Linked DNA regions of Cricetulus griseus. The protein of the gene in region 3 interacts with the protein of the main gene of each other region in a pairwise test. Links are inferred from orthologs where the notes say so. Each region holds a gene or a part of one and is shown on either strand. Other genes may lie near its edges.

Evidence for each region.
Region 1: the proteins of Rabac1 (region 3) and Pbx3 interact in a two-hybrid assay, tested with the Homo sapiens proteins (2 studies listed by BioGRID). The two-hybrid records come from large-scale screens. The link is inferred for Cricetulus griseus from reciprocal best matches to the Homo sapiens genes RABAC1 and PBX3.
Region 2: the proteins of Rabac1 (region 3) and Rab1a interact in a two-hybrid assay, tested with the Homo sapiens proteins (2 studies listed by BioGRID and IntAct). The link is inferred for Cricetulus griseus from reciprocal best matches to the Homo sapiens genes RABAC1 and RAB1A.

What each region holds. Positions count from the first base shown.
Region 1 is NC_048599.1:145,945,384-145,950,648, reverse strand, and holds part of Pbx3 (pre-B-cell leukemia transcription factor 3), read left to right. Parts: intron 1-1,232; coding exon 1,233-1,474; intron 1,475-5,265. UniProt on the Homo sapiens protein: Transcriptional activator that binds the sequence 5'-ATCAATCAA-3'.
Region 2 is NW_023276807.1:86,262,241-86,267,605, forward strand, and holds the end of Rab1a (ras-related protein Rab-1A), read right to left. Parts: intron 3,926-5,365; coding exon 3,830-3,925; intron 2,195-3,829; coding exon 2,063-2,194; intron 1,719-2,062; coding exon 1,521-1,718; 3' UTR 901-1,520; downstream 1-900. UniProt on the Homo sapiens protein: The small GTPases Rab are key regulators of intracellular membrane trafficking, from the formation of transport vesicles to their fusion with membranes.
Region 3 is NC_048602.1:9,713,728-9,719,020, reverse strand, and holds Rabac1 (prenylated Rab acceptor protein 1), read left to right. Parts: upstream 1-1,926; 5' UTR 1,927-2,044; coding exon 2,045-2,100; intron 2,101-2,272; coding exon 2,273-2,485; intron 2,486-2,724; coding exon 2,725-2,822; intron 2,823-4,842; coding exon 4,843-4,944; intron 4,945-5,021; coding exon 5,022-5,110; 3' UTR 5,111-5,259; downstream 5,260-5,293. UniProt on the Homo sapiens protein: General Rab protein regulator required for vesicle formation from the Golgi complex. May control vesicle docking and fusion by mediating the action of Rab GTPases to the SNARE complexes.

The sequences.
Region 1 (5,265 bases), on a different chromosome or scaffold from region 3:
TGAGCTAAGGCAACCGAGAGCTCTGTCATGCTGCAGTGTAATTCGGGGCATCTATGGATGAAGTCTTTTCGTAAAAGAATTGATGGTACATGTAGGTTAGCATATGAGATCTCAGAGATGGTGATCAGTTGAGGACTTGGCAGCTAATAGATGTTGCTGTCATGTAAGTTACACTAGACACAGAGTGTGTGCCGCTGTGGATAAACAACAGGCACAGGCACAAGAGGCAGAATCCAAATGCAAACATATGAGATGCCAACTCCCCCTCCCCATGCCTTGTAACTAGAGCAGGGAACCTGCTTCTGAACAGATTTACAGAGGTTAATTGGGCTGGGATAGTTTATATCGTGTTACACATTAATGAAAATGCTGATTTTTGAGCTGTCATGACTCCAGTGCTTTTTATACCACAATAATTATTTTAAAACTTTGTCTTCTGTGTTGCTGAAAACATCTTGGCAGAAAGCCTGTGTGACCTGATTAAACCTATGAATTGTCAGCTGTGATCTATTGTACTCAGAAGAGGTTGCTGACTGGCATCACTTGGAAGTTCTTGATATAAAAGCAGAGTGAGATTGAGACTTCTGTGCCCAGCACTCAATTGCTGTGTCAGTGGCACATTTTAAACTCTGTATTTGGTGCCCTTGTGCAGTTTGCTGGCACATGCCTAGCAATGCCCTTTTAATATGTATTTAAGTCTAGCTAATTACTTCCTATTGAATGTATTTTGCTTTTGAGATTGCATGATAGAAAAGCCATCTAGTCTTATTTATTTCCTAATTTTGGATAGAGCTTGTAGGTTAAAATTATTTTATGGGAATTTTAAATTATGTTTCTTTAACTGTATAGAGAGACAGATTAACCATGTTTTGATGAGTTTATTTATATCTCTGCAATATTCTCTTCTTAGGTCCTCCTTCCTACTTTATGTATAAATCATTTAAATCCGAAGCTCAGATAATTAGAATATTCTAAGAAGTCAAACTTACCTCTTTCTAAGAGTCCAAGTTGGGGGTAAATTCTGAAGGGGTGTAGAAAGAGTCCTAGGATGCATGTAAATGTATTTTGAAAGCAGTTCTCATAGTCAAGCCTGTTTATGAAATGTGAGCGATGACGCTCTCAGCATGAATTGTAGTACACTAATGTTGTTTGATCATTTTCTCAAACAAAATACTCACACTGTTTGTCCTCTGTCTCTCGCTTCTTCTCTCTGTCTTTCTCTTTCCTTGAAGGTCTCAGCATCAGAGGAGCCCAGGAGGAAGACCCTCCCGACCCCCAGCTAATGAGACTGGACAATATGCTTTTGGCAGAAGGGGTTTCAGGTCCTGAGAAAGGTGGGGGATCGGCGGCAGCAGCTGCAGCCGCAGCAGCCTCTGGAGGTTCTTCAGATAACTCTATTGAACACTCAGATTACAGAGCCAAATTGACCCAGATCAGACAAATCTATCACACAGAACTGGAGAAATATGAACAGGTCAGCAGCCGCCACTCTCAGTCCTGCACAAACCCTCTGTTGCTCTTCTACTAGACTGTACTAACCAATTCCAAGGGCCATAAGGGGTAGGTGTTAACAGACTAAAATAAGTAAAAATGATGTACAAAACCAAGAGTGTTGTGGGAGCCATGAAATGAAGCTAACCCTCATATCCCTTTGTTCCAGTTTTTACATTCATGGTACCTAACTAGCACACCTGTAAGCCCTTCTTTCCCACTTCCTTCAACCTTGCACTTGGTGCCATGCAGAGCTATGGAGAATTCAGCCTAGGCACTACTTTGTTCATAAACTTTAACCACTGACAAAAAGAGAAGCATCATTGCATAGTGAGTTTTTTTGTTTGTTTGTTTGTTTGTTTGTTTTTTTATCTCATACACTGTGAGTTCTAAGACCCTACTGGGAATTAATTCTATGGATTGTGCTCGACTATGTGGAAGGAATTTCTGGGATCATTTGAGGCTGAGACTCCTGGTTAATTGTGACTGTTCCAGGATAGGGTAGAGTAGGCATTGTGTGCTAAACCCTGATCACAAAGAATAAGGAATTAAAAATCTTCTCAGCAATCTTACTAGCCATACTTCATTGAGCCTCAGGTATCTTTTGAGTTTAAGCTGTGTCACTGTTCTATGTGCCAATAGCAGAAAGTCACATTGCCAATTTAACTCTAGCATGCTATCAATTACCTAATGACTCCAGATTTCCAGAAACCCCTATTAGTTAAAATGTGAGGGAAATAAGTGTTTCCTGGATTAACCATAATATGGTAAAATGTGGGTAATCAATTTTAACATATTTTAGTTAGTAATTTAGGGCTATAGTTCTACTTAGATTAAGGACTTCTCATTAACATGGATTCTCATTTAAAAGGTCTTTAGAAGATTCACTATTAGGTCAACTTTTGAACATACACAAAAATAGATGTTAGGTTGAGTCTGATAAAATAGATACTGTATTTTAGCAGTTATTCATAATGCCCATACACTTAGTGGGAAATGTATATGTGTTTTGGGGGTGGAGGGGTGTTCCTGGTGATTTTCCTTTCCTTAAAAAAAATTTAAGATCAGTTTTAGTTTCATGGCAATATTATCTCAGAGATGTCTCCATGCTCCCTGCTCCCATATATGCATGGCTTACTTAGTAACACAACCTGCCAGAGAGGTCTGTTTGTTACTTACAGCTCATGAACCAGCATTGACACATCAGCACCTCAAGTCCACATTCTGTTATGGAGCAGTCCTAGTCTCATGCAGTCTGTGCACTCAGAAAGATGCCTATGCTTATAGCACCTGAGAACATTTCCACTGCCCTAATGGTTCTTGTTGCACTCCTCCCTCCCTCCCTCCCTCCCTCCCTCCCTCCCTCCCTCCCTCCCTCCCTCCCTCCCTCCCTCCCTCCCTTCCTCCCTCTCCCTCTTTTCCCTTTCCCCCTTCTTACCTACCCCATGGATCTCTGGAAGCCACTCTTTGGTTTTAGTACTGAGTTTTCACAGTTCTCTAAATAGTTTCCATTGTATATGTTGGCCCTTTACCCTGTCTTTTCTTACATTCTGAGAATGATGGCATTGAACATCTTTATCCCAGAGGTGAGTGTTCTGAGGAAGAGTAGAAAGATACAATGCATGTTAAAATGAAGTGCAAATTAATATTATAAAATTTTCTAATTTGGGGCAAAACTTTCTGGTATTCAAAACTATGTTTCATTTGCAAGGATAAATTTTGCTAGAGAATGTTCGGACAAGAACTTTGAAAAAATTGTGTATGTGTACCAAAAAAATACAGCTTTCTGATTTGACATGAATAATTGAGAATAAACAAAATAAGTCACAGTTGAAAGGTTGCCCTGAGCATAAACAGTAGAAAATGGTTCTAGTTTGTAGTATAATCCTAATTTCATAACTTTATGTTAAATAGGTCTATGCATATTTACCAGGCAACTACCATTAGTCACCTTGCATAGAAACTGGCATATTGGGGACCAAATTGTCACATTGTACTGGTTGTTCCTGACTGTCCTCTGTCACAGTACTCTTTCTTCATACCAGATTTACTGCTTCATCAGATGGCCCTGTTAGAAGTTGGATGAAGCTGCCATCAGCAGAAGGCAAGGACTCAAGCCTTCTTATCTTAGAAATGCCCTAAAAATTTCCCATGAGACATCAGTGGCTTCAGTCTCAGCTACTACCAGGATCATCTCACTAGGGTGTGTGTGTGTGTGTGTGTGTGTGTGTGTGTGTGTGTGTGTGTGTGTGTGTTTTGCCTTAAAAATGCATACTATATATAAGTTCTACATAAAGTAATTGATCATATTTGAATTAAATATAAAATTGAGAAATAACAAATTTAAATGTTATAATGGACCATATTTCTGGATATAGTTAGTGGCTTCATAGATACTTTAATGCATGTTTTCTTCCTGTTTCTTAACATGTTCAAAAGGACATGTATAGAAATGTGGAATCTCTGCAGCACTGTGGGCAGATTGTGATGAAGTGATGGTAGATACAGCTGAGTTCTACTTTACACACTTCATAAGCTCCCAGTTGTTTACAGATGATGTATTGGTGTTTGACCTCTTGAGTTGTCTTTGGACAGCTTTAGAGCTGTGTTTTTGTCAGTGCTGTTCTACAGGAAGAAATTTTCCTCTGTTTAGACACAAGAACAAAGGGCTTTGATTACTTGAATAGTTAAAGATAGCTGAGTGAGGGCAAGGAGTGACATTTCTAAAATAGATAGTATTGCATTTCCATTCTCTAAATGAGGTGATTGTCCAGTGTCACATACTAGTGTAAGAATCAGGAATCAAATCAGGTTCTGATCATCTGCCATCCTTGTCTATTTAGTTTTATTGCTTCATACACAGAACTGGAAAATAATGCATGCTATCATACTCAGGCATCCTCAGATTGGCCCATGTTGGTTTGTGTTTGAAACAGAAACAGATGAAAGCAACTGTCTTAAAGACTTCCAAAAAATATATTTCCACCTTAAAAGTGATCATGGGGATGCTGAGTGACAGAACATTTATCAGGAAGTAGGAAGACTGTATATGTCAAGGCAGAGGCTTTGTTGGGAGATTCTGTGAGTCTCAAAGAAATAAACCACATCAGAATCTTAAGCGGTATTTACTCTGCTGTGTTTTGCAATGAAGCTGTAATGAAAATGTATCTGAAGCCTGTTCAGATTTAGATTGCCATAAAATTAACAAACATCACCACTGCAGTAAATTAAAGAACCTGGCAAGTTTAAAGCGCAGCCATACTCACAGTGAGCAGTCTAGTGCTGCAGCAGGAGCAAAATCACATCTAAGCTGCAAGGCTCAGTTTTACCTATTAGGGAAGGATTGTCTTTAGACTTCTGTTCTTTCCCTCCGGAAAATGTTCTTTGATCATCCATCTCTATTTCATAGACTGGGAGATTTGATGATTTTAGAGATAATCATCCAACTTCACTTATAAATGTTTTTGAGATGTTAAATGTTGGATGGGCATAGTGAGGTATTTAAATGTTACCACTACCCAGTAGGAAACAATACCATTCTCCTGTGGTCTTGCTGCTCTGACACCTAGCTGGAATATGATAGTTTCCCAGAGCTTCCAGCAAGCACCTTCATACTTCATCTTGAGTTTATTGCTTTCTTCTGCTTGAGAGACAAACCTCCATCTTCTTGATTAGCTACAAATCTTGGAAAATGCCTTTACTGTATTTTCCAATGTTCCTATGGCTAGAGGCCTAGCTGTTAGAATAGATGAATTCTGAATGAACTTAAGCCCT
Region 2 (5,365 bases), on a different chromosome or scaffold from region 3:
TACAATTGGAAAGAATAAAAAGTTGACACCTAGAAGTGGAGTCAGGAGGATCAGGAATTCAAGGCCATCCTTGGTTACAAGTGAATTTGAGGCCTCTTGAACTACATGAGACATTGTCTCAAAAAAACATTGCAGTCTCAGTATTGTGGTACATGCCTTTAATCCCACCACTTGGGAGGAAAAGGCAGGTGGATCTCTGTTAGGGGCCAGCCTGCTGCACATACTAAGTTGCAGGCCAGCCAGGGTTACATAGTGAGACTCTATCTCAAAAAAGAAAAGAAAAAAGATAAAGCAGGCATGGTGGTGCATGCCTTTAATCCTAGCACTTGGAGGCAGAGACAGGTGGATCCCTGAGTTCGAGGCCAGTCTGGTCCACGGAGCAAGTTCCAGGACAGCCAGAACTACACAGAGAAACCCTGTCTCTAAAAGCAAAAAATAAAAATCCCAAAAACTGGGGTAGGTGAGGTGGGGTGGGGTGGGTGTGTGGCATCTGCCAGAGCATGGAGGAAGCACCAGCACATGTTACTAGATCACTGCCTGGGAGTAAAGCATGTGCTGCTCTCCATCTCTACCACAGATGCATGAAGAAAGTTTGAGTGAAGCCACTTCAGACAACGGTTTTAGAGCTGGAGATGAAGCACTAGAAAGCACACATTCTAAACTTGTTTTCCATACACTCTGAGCTCCTTGAACCAATGAATTTGGTTCAGTCTACACAGCACAGAAGCTTCTCTAGGTCACTTAGCAGGTCTATTACTAGAAAGCAAATACTGGATGCTGTGCTATTATTAGATAGGTCTACAGTGCCCTTGTTGCACACACAAATTGGCTGTTGAGTATAATGCAAATCCCTATTTCCCTTTAACCATAAGAATTAAAACAATACTTATCACCATACAGTTTGATATTACTTCCAATAAGTACAATATTTATTAAACATATCTTCAGTTTTGTTACATAGTGTGCAACAAATTACAATATTCTGCAGCCACAAATTATATGCAGAGTATGAAGAAACTATTAATCAGATAGTGTAATCTTTCCATTTATAACTCTACAAGGAAGAACTAGCAAATCAGATCTTACATATAACGTCTCACTAAACTTTATGCATGGAAATTGACAGACACTGGTTGTGCTGTTTGATACAAAATGGCTGAACTTCATCTTCAGAAGACTAAACCCAACATCTAAACATGCCAATATAAACATCAAAACAAAATATATTCTAACCAACCACGGGAAACAATCTGGTATCAGGAAAGCAACAAGGATTACACACATTATTTTATAAACCAGCACACAAAGGTTTAAAACAGTTCTGAAAATGAAGTTAGCTGTCTTTGAGTCAAGGGAATAAAAAAAAAAGTCAGTATTGACCATTTACAATCTCTGACCTTGTGGAAACGGTAAGAATCTGTTGTAGTGCAGCTACATACAGTACAATTCAGGCAATTTTGTTTTTTCACTTGGGTTCAGATTGCGAATTCATTGCTGTGAGAAAAGGACGGAGGCAAATTTTAGCAGCAACCTCCACCTGACTGCTTGACTGGAGTGCTCTGGATTTTAACATTGGACTTCTCTGCACCACCAGCTGTTGCTCCAGGGCCCATTCGCTTTTTAATCTCGGCTGCCATCGTCATGAAAGACTGTTCTACATTCGTTGCATTCTTAGCACTGGTTTCCAAAAATGGAATTCCAAGGGAATCTGCAAATTCCTGAGAGAGTAATAAGGAACAATCAACACTGGAAAACCTTTCTAACTTGCTGTTAATGCTTTCTGAAATGGGAATGAAGGACTAAATTCACTGGCTTTTAAAAGTTTAGCCACTGTATGACTCCCGTCCCCATAATTAAAATTCAACTTGAAAATCAAACCTCGACAGGTGGTGGTGGCACATGCCCTTAATCCCAGCACTTGGGAGGCAGAGGCAGAAGGATCTCTGTGAGTTCGAAAACAGCCTGGTCTACAGAGTGAGTTCCAGGACAGCCAGGGCTGTTATACAGAGAAACCCTGTCCCAAAATTAATTAAGTAATTAGAAAATCAGACCTCATACATACCTTCGCTGTTGTGTAATCTACTACTTTCTTTGTGGTCAGGTCACATTTGTTCCCTACCAACAACTTGTTGACATTTTCACTGGCATAGCGATCTATCTCTTGCAGCCACTGTTTAACATTATTGAAGGACTCCTAAAGACAAGAATGATGATACAGTTTTGGATGCAACCAATGATCAACTGATAACAGCTCATTTTGTGGCAACTCTAGCTATAACTATAATGCAAGAAAAGAAATGAACTAATATATTACAATGACAATGTTCATCTAATGAATGATAAGGAGGACTGGCAGGCTTGAAGTGAAAATAGCTTATTTGGGAAGGGAAACAGTTTAATATTTAATGACAGGCAAACCAATTTTTTCTTTAAAGATTTTATTTATTATGTATACAGTCTTCTGCCTGCATGCAGATCTCATTCAAGGTGGCTGTGAGCCACCATGTGGTTGCTGGGAATTGAACTCAGGACCTCTGGAAGAACAGTCAGTGCTCTTAACCGCTGAGCCATCTCTCCAGCCCCCAGGCAAACCCAATTTTAAGTTGAAATTTAGATATTAACAAAACCTAGTTTCTGAAATTTAGTAGAATTCTGGTTTTTAAACTGAGTAGTGACACAGCTTTTATCCCAGAACTAGGGAGGCAGAGGCAGGTGGATCTCTGAGTTCTAGGCCTGCCCATTCTACAAAATCAGTTAGTTGCACGTCAGCCAGGACTACCTTAAGGGAGATCCTGTCTCAAAATAAACCAAACAAAAATTAACAACAAAAACTGGTCATGAATAACAGCAGTGTTACTACTATCAAAAAGATAACTGTTTGGCCCGAGGGTACAGTTCAGGGACTGACTACTTCCTGGCATGCAGAAATCTCTGAGCTTAAATGCCACTACAAGATAGTGAGTGGATGGGGAGGAGAAAACTAGTTTAAAAAAAAAAAAAAAAAAAAAAAAAACTTTTGGTGAGACCTTTTCCTTTTTCTTTTCTCAAAAATATTTTATGGTAGACTGGGAGTGATTGCACATGCTTTTGATCCCAGTGCTTAGAGGGCAGAGGCAGGCAGATCTCTGAGTTCTACAGAGTTCTAGGACTGCCAGGACTACTCAGAGAAACTCTGTCTCAAAACACAACAAAATAATGGTGATAGACTGGACGTTTAAAAGTAACATGTTCTGGGCTGAAGAGATGGCTCAGTGGTTAAGAGCACTGACTGCTCTTCTAGAGGACCGGGGTTCAATTCCCAGCACCCACATGGCAGCTCACAGCTGTCTGTAATTCCAGTTCCAGGGGACCCAACACCCATGGCAAAACACCAATGTATATAAAATAAAAATAAAATTTTAAAAAAGTAACATGTTCTGTCTGCTCTGGGTGTTGGCCTTTTTGAGATGTGATCTGCTGTGTTGTGCTGCCTAGACTGGTCTCAGTCTTCTGAGAGCCTATCTCAGCCTCCCAAGTAGCAAGAACCCAGGCACACGACATCATGTTAATGTAGCATTTTCTTTTCCTGCCCACATTCACCCATCTTTTGCTCCTAAATGTCTTCAGTTATTTCCAAATTGCCCATAAGTCACAAAGAGTTGATTTAACATTTGCTACAAGAAAAATGAGTGCTAATTTTTATTTTTTTTTTTAATTTCTCAAATGGTAAAAATAACTTTCAGATCAAAAGTATTCAAGGACATTCTGTCTACATAATAATTTCCAGGTCAATCAGAACTACACAGTGTGTCGAAAATCTACACACATACAATAGTCTCTAGGAACTCACCTGATCTGTCACATCATACACAACTATGATGCCATGGGCTCCTCTGTAGTAACTGGAGGTGATTGTTCGAAATCTTTCCTGGCCTGCTGTGTCCCACTATTAGAAAAGAATCAGGAAAGGCAAAACAATTTCATTACAACAGACTTGGGAAGTACAAGAGGAAACTGTAGATTATTAGGATCAGACACAACAGATCCTAATTCAATGCTTACATTATTAAACTGCACTGCAAGTATCAAATATGTTAAAATCCAGAAGCAAAGACATTGCCTACAATTTGGCTGGTGGTACTGACACCAAATTCTAAATTCTTTTATGCTAGGCAGTTGGCAAAAATAAGAATCCAGAGTCCACAGCGTACTCCTTCCTGGCTGCAGCCATTCATCCCAAATCAGGTTGTTCTGCCATGCCCTAGTGGGAAAAGGAGGTGTACTTCACCAAGTGAAAGTACTTCACCTCAATGAGCACGGTATTGACAGAACCAACGCTGGCTTTGTTCCTTTCTTTCTGGCTAAAACTAGACTGAGACTCAAAAGACTATGAATATGAAGATCTACGATTCCAACCTGACTCTTATCAATGTGCCCCTCTTGCTCCATGGTATAATAACTAATTTTAATGAAGATCTGGCCATCACCACTAAACATAAAAAGTGAAAGGAAAAGACTTACAACACCTGGAAGTAACAAACAAAGCCCAGCAAGTTGAAATACAATGGCTTAAAAGCACAATTTGTATTTAAAATTTTAAAACAATTCACAGAAGACTCACTCACTCACTCACACATGCATGCACACATGTGCACCTTTTCTTTTTTTGTGTGTGTATGATACATGCATGTGGAGATCTGAGGCTGAAGTAAAGTCTTCCTGGATTACTACTTGCCTTATTCATTGAGGCAAGACCTCTCAGTTGAACCCAGAGCTCACTGATATGACTCATAAAGCTTCAGTGATCCAGCGTCTTTGCCTTCCATGGACTGGAATTAGAGGTGGGCCCCACGCCTACATGCATTTTGATGGGTGAATTCTGATCCTCACATTTATAAGTACTTTATCTTCTGAACCATCTCCGGAGCTCATATGTACCCTTTACACACATCCCCAAAATTAAAAACACGCTAGCCACAATCTTAATACATACACTGCTAGGTAATGTGGTTACTGCAACAGCAAATGTGAACTCATGCTTTGTTTTTGTGTTCTTCAGTGAATTAACAATAAGCAACAATTCCTGAAGTCCAAGGGAGAAATTTTATTTTATGTTTATGTGTATGAGTGTTTTGCCTGCACATATGCCTGTGCTACACGCATGCCTGCTGGCCATAGAGATAAGAAGGTGGCACTGGATCTCATGGGGCTGAAACTACAGAGAGCTGTGTGAGGCATGGGAGTTGGGAACTGAGCCCCCATCTGCACTGAGCCATCTCCCGAAACCCAAAGGGAGAAAAATTTTAAGAAATTAATTCCAAAGTTTATCTCATACCCTGTATGATATTTTATTTTAGGAATCCCATTTTAGAAAATGCACCTTAAA
Region 3 (5,293 bases):
AAACCCTGCTCTTTCCAGCTGTTTTTTGTTTTGTTTTGTTTTGTTTTGTTTTGCCACCACACTGGTTCCCAAGATTCTGTCTACACTTCCAGCACTCTGAGCTTGTGGCGTCCCTCATTAGTGTTTGGGCTAACTGTACATTCACAGCCCTCCACCGACCTTCTGAAGCAAAGCCGGACCCCAAGTGGAACACCTGAACACAGTTCCCTGCTGAGCGGCCCAACACTGAGTTGAAAGGAGGCCCCAGGGGTGGGAGCAACTGCAAAGCAAGTTCCAGGCCATCCTGGGCTACATGAAACCCTACTGAAAACTGAAAATAAAGAAGCAGGAGAGATAGCTCAATAGTTAAGCACACACTGGAGCTGGAGAGATAGCTCAGCAGTTAAGAGCACTGACTGTTCTTCCAGAGGTCCTGAGTTCAATTCCCAGCATCCACATGGCAGCTCACAACTGTCTATAACTCCAATTCCAGGGGATCTGAACCTTCACACCAATGCATTTAAAATAAAGTTAAATAATTAAAAAAATAGTTAAGCACCCTGACTGCTCTTCCAGCACCCATATGGCAGCTCACAACTGTCAGCAACTCCAGTTCCAGGAGACCCAACACTCTCACACGGACGTGTATGCAGGCAGAAGACCAATGTACATAAAATAAAAACAAATCATTTTTAAAAACCAGGTGGTAGTGTCACACACCTTTAACCCAAGCACTAGAGACAGGTGAATCGCTGAGAGTTTGAGACCAGCCTGGTCTACAGAGCGAGTACCAAGGGCTATGTAGAAAGACCCTGTCTGGAAAAAGTAAATAAATAAAACAGATGTTTTAAATGAAAATAAAAAAGAGGGTTTGGAGAGATGACTCAGTAGTTAAGAGTGTGCGTGCTGCTTTTCCAGAGGACTAGAGTTCAGTTCCCAGCCCATGTATTTTGAACAGCTCACAATTGGTGGTAACTTCAGTTCCAGGGGGGGGATGTAATACCCTCTTCTGGGCCTCCTCAGGCACCGTCACCCATGTGGCACACACACATAAACCATTTATTTTTAATTCTTTTTGGTTTTTGGAGACAAGGTTTCTGTGTAGCTTTTGGAGGCTGTCCTGGCACTTGCTCTGTAGACCAGGCTGGCCTCGAACTCACAGAGATCCTCCTGCCTCTGCCTCCCGAGTGCTGGGATTAAAGGCTTGAGTCACCAATGCCCGGCAGAAGCCATTTTTTAGAAAAGATATTTTAAAAGTTATGTGTATCTGTGTAAGTACACGTGAGTATGTTTGATTGACTAGAGCTGGATATATACATATATAATATTTTTAAAAATTTATTTATTATACAGTGTTCTGCCTTCATGTATGCTATATGCCAAAAGAGGGCACCAAATCACATTTGTAGATGGTTGTGAGCCACCATGTGGGTTGCTGGGAATTGAACTCAGGACACCTGGAAGTGGAAGAGCAGCCGGTTCTCACACATCTGAGCCATCTCTCCAGCCCCTATAATTTTTGTTTTGTTTTGTTTTCTAAGGAAAGAGAAAGTTAATGAACTCCACCCCAGACCAGCCCAATCAGAATCAGAATATCTGAGGCTGCGGCCAATGTTTTTATTATTATTATTAATTATTTATTATTATTATTATTATTATTATTATTATTATTATTATTATTATTATTATTATTATTATTATTATGCCGTCTGGAGTCAGGATGATAGCTCCGCACCCTCCACGGAATCCCGCAGCTGCCATGCCAACTCCCGGTAAAAACGCCCCATCCTAAGAGCCCACGCTGCACGCTCTGAAACTACAGTTCCCACAATGCCTAGAGGCCCACGCGGCGCTCTTGGCATACTTCTCCCGAGGTGTCTTGCGAGCCCGACCGACCTCCTGACGCCGCAATGACTACAACTCCCAGAATGCTCGGAGACGCAACTACCGCCCCCTAGAGTGCCAAGCGGCGCCATGTCCTGAGCGTCCGGGCTCGGGCGGGGGCCGGCTGGGTGCGGCGGGGCTCGAGGCTGTCCGCGGCGATCCCACACACCGCAGCGTAGACATGGCGGCCCAGAAGGACCAGCAGAAGGATACGGAGGTGGAGGGGCTGAGCGCCACGTGAGCGAGCAGGGTGTAACCCCCCATACTCCCGAGCGTGGGGTCCCAGGCGTCCCGGCCCCCGGGCTTTGCAGAGGAGATGTCCCCCGGGGGCCGCGATGTGCTGGGATCTGGGGTCCGGGCCCTGGGACCGCTTGCGGCTGACCTGCCCCCGCCCCGCCCCGCCCTCCAGGACCCTGCTGCCCAAGCTGATTCCCTCCGGCGCCGGCCGAGAGTGGCTGGAGCGGCGCCGCGCGACCATCCGGCCCTGGGGCGCTTTCGTGGATCAGCAGCGTTTCTCGCGACCCCGCAACCTGGGCGAGCTTTGCCAGCGCCTGGTACGCAACGTGGAGTATTACCAAAGCAACTACGTGTTCGTGTTTCTGGGCCTCATCCTTTACTGCGTGTGAGTGCCTCGGCAGCCCCGCCCTCCTGCGCCAGGCCCCGCCCCCTGTTGCCAGGCCCCGCCCCCCGCCGGTTAGCTAGGCCCAGGGCCTTGTCACCCGAGCACCCAGGAGTCGGTCTGTATTCCTGAATCCACCCGAGCCGGGATGCAGTCTAGCCACCCCATGTGATGCCCAAGGCTAGAGGGAGCCGGCTCACACAGCCTCAGACGCCTGACTCCTGTCTCCCACACTCTTCCAGGGTGACATCCCCCATGCTGCTGGTGGCTCTGGCTGTCTTCTTTGGCGCCTGTTACATTCTCTATCTGCGCACGTTGCAGTCCAAGCTTGTGCTCTTTGGTGAGAAACCCCCCGCCCAAACGGATCCCCAGGTCCCACAGAACTGCAGACCTCCGAATATTTGGGAATCAAGTCGGTCCCACCGAGAGGTGCACTAGAGTCATTAAACTTAGTCCTTAAGGTCGCAGGTGAATACCCTCCAGTCTCAGCTCCCCAAAACCCAGGGAGAGCCCTAAAACCCCGGCTCCTGTGTCTCCTGTAAAATGAATCAGTCCTTCCCAATCCTCCCCGGGGAGAGCATCCGCTGCAGGTACCCACACTGGACACCAGGTGGCGACCGTGTGCAGGCCTAGGTCTGTCTGCCTTCCCATGCCTTCTGTCCCAGGGCTGAACTGGTAAGATACTAGATATTTCCAGAAGGGGAAACGGAGACCTGTCCGCCCACTGGGAAGAGAAGTGTCAGGGAAGACCCACTGAGAGGAAATCCCAGGTTTGCCAAGGAGACCTGTGACAGTCTTTCAGGTCCCAGACAGGTTACCAGAGGAAGATGGACTAGGGCCGAGCGAGAAGAGCCTGAAGCACAAGAGAACTTGGCCTTGGCAGATAGTAGTCACTAGGGCATACACAATTTCCAGACATAGGAGAGCCTGAAAAAAATTGTTTTGAGATAGGGTCTTCTTACGTAGCCTCGGCCTGCCAGGAGCTCACTCTGTAGACCAGACTGGCCTCCAACTCACAGATTTCCCCTGCCTCTGCCTCCTGAGTGCTGGGATTAAAGGAGTATGCAACCATGCCCTAGCCTTACAAAATTTGTTAAGCACCCAGAAGGCAGGCCCTCTGGGAAAGCAGCAAGTGCTCCTAACTGCTGGGCCGTCTCTCCAGTCCCCACAAACCAGATTCTTGTGAAACACTTCAAAGACAGACAGACGTTCTGGCTCATGCCTGTAATCCCAGCATTTGGGAGGCTGAAACAGGATGATTGCTGTAAATTCAAAACAAGCCTGGGCTTCAGAGTCTTTTAAAAAATCAAAATGAGCCAGGCATTGGTGGCGCACTCTTTTAATCCCAGCACTCGGGAGGCAGAGGCAGGCGATCTCTGTGAGTTCGAGACCAGCCTGGTCTACAGAGCGAGTGCCAGGATAGGCTCCAAAGCCACAGAGAAACCCTGTCTCGAAAAACAAACAAACAAACAAACAAAAATCAAAATGAGAGCTGGGCATGGTGGCACACACCTTTAATCCCAGCATTCGGGGTGAGGCTGGTGGATCTCTGTGAGTTCAAGGTCATCCTGGTCTACAAATCGAGTTCCAGAACAGCCAGTGCTATACAGAGAAACCCTGTCTCAAGTTTTTAAAAAACAAAAAATCAAAATAATGGTTTGGAGAGATGGCTCAGTGGTTAAAATTGAATTCTGTTCTTGAAAGGACCCAGGTTTTGTTCTCAGAACCCAATCCCCATGTCAGGTGACTGTCACAAGGCCACCTGTCACTCCAGCTTCTGGCCTCCATGGGCACCTGAACTCTTGTGCACATATGGCCACACAGGGTACATACACGTAATTCAAAGTAATAAATAAAATTATATAAGTTAAAAATAAGAAGACAAAAACCCTTAGGTCATGGACTGGAGAGATGGCTCCGGGGTTAAGAGCACTGACTGTTCTTCCAGAGGTCCTGAGTTCAATTCCCAGCAACCACATGTTGGCTCACAACCATCTGTAATGGGATCTGATGCCCTTTTCTGGCACGCACTGTATACATGATAAATAAATAAATCTTTAAAAAAAAAAAAAAACCCTCTTAGGTCAGACCTGGCAATGGGGCCACAAGGTTGAGAGTCCTGGTATCCAGGCTGGGACATGAGGCTAGCCTGGTCTGAGAGACAAGTGGCTTGGGAGGTCCTGGGGAGGGGGGGATAGAGAGCAGAGCTGGGGCTGAGGAAGGTGGTTTCATTCTGGTTATGTTTGGGGAAGCAGGATCAGGGATGGGAGGCCATAGAAACTAGACTTACTGAGGGCGGCTCTGGTTACCTCTGGGAAAGGGTCAGGTGGGCACAGCTGCCCAATACCATCTGTCCCCAGGCCGGGAGGTGAGCCCAGCGCATCAGTACGCCCTGGCTGGCGGTGTCTCTTTCCCCTTCTTCTGGCTGGCAGGTGCTGGTTCGGCCGTCTTCTGGGTCCTGGGTGAGTAAAGGGTCTGGGTCTGGTGAGCTTGGGAGCCAGATGAGAGAACACATCCTGAACTACCCATCCTCCTATAGGAGCCACCCTGGTGATCATCGGCTCCCATGCTGCCTTGCACCAGATAGAGCCTTCAGACGGAGAGGAACTGCAGATGGAGCCTGTGTAAGATGTCAGAACCTGCCTGCCTTGCCGGCTGCCAGGTCTGTCTGTCCTTGTCCTGCCCGGCCTTGCCTGCCCCTCATCCACCTCAGGCCTCAATTCCAAGGAGAGGCTTTGTCTTTGGAAATAAAGTTGTTACAGTTGCTACTTGGCAAACGCTTTCCTGGTATTTTCTCTTTTATAGGTAAGG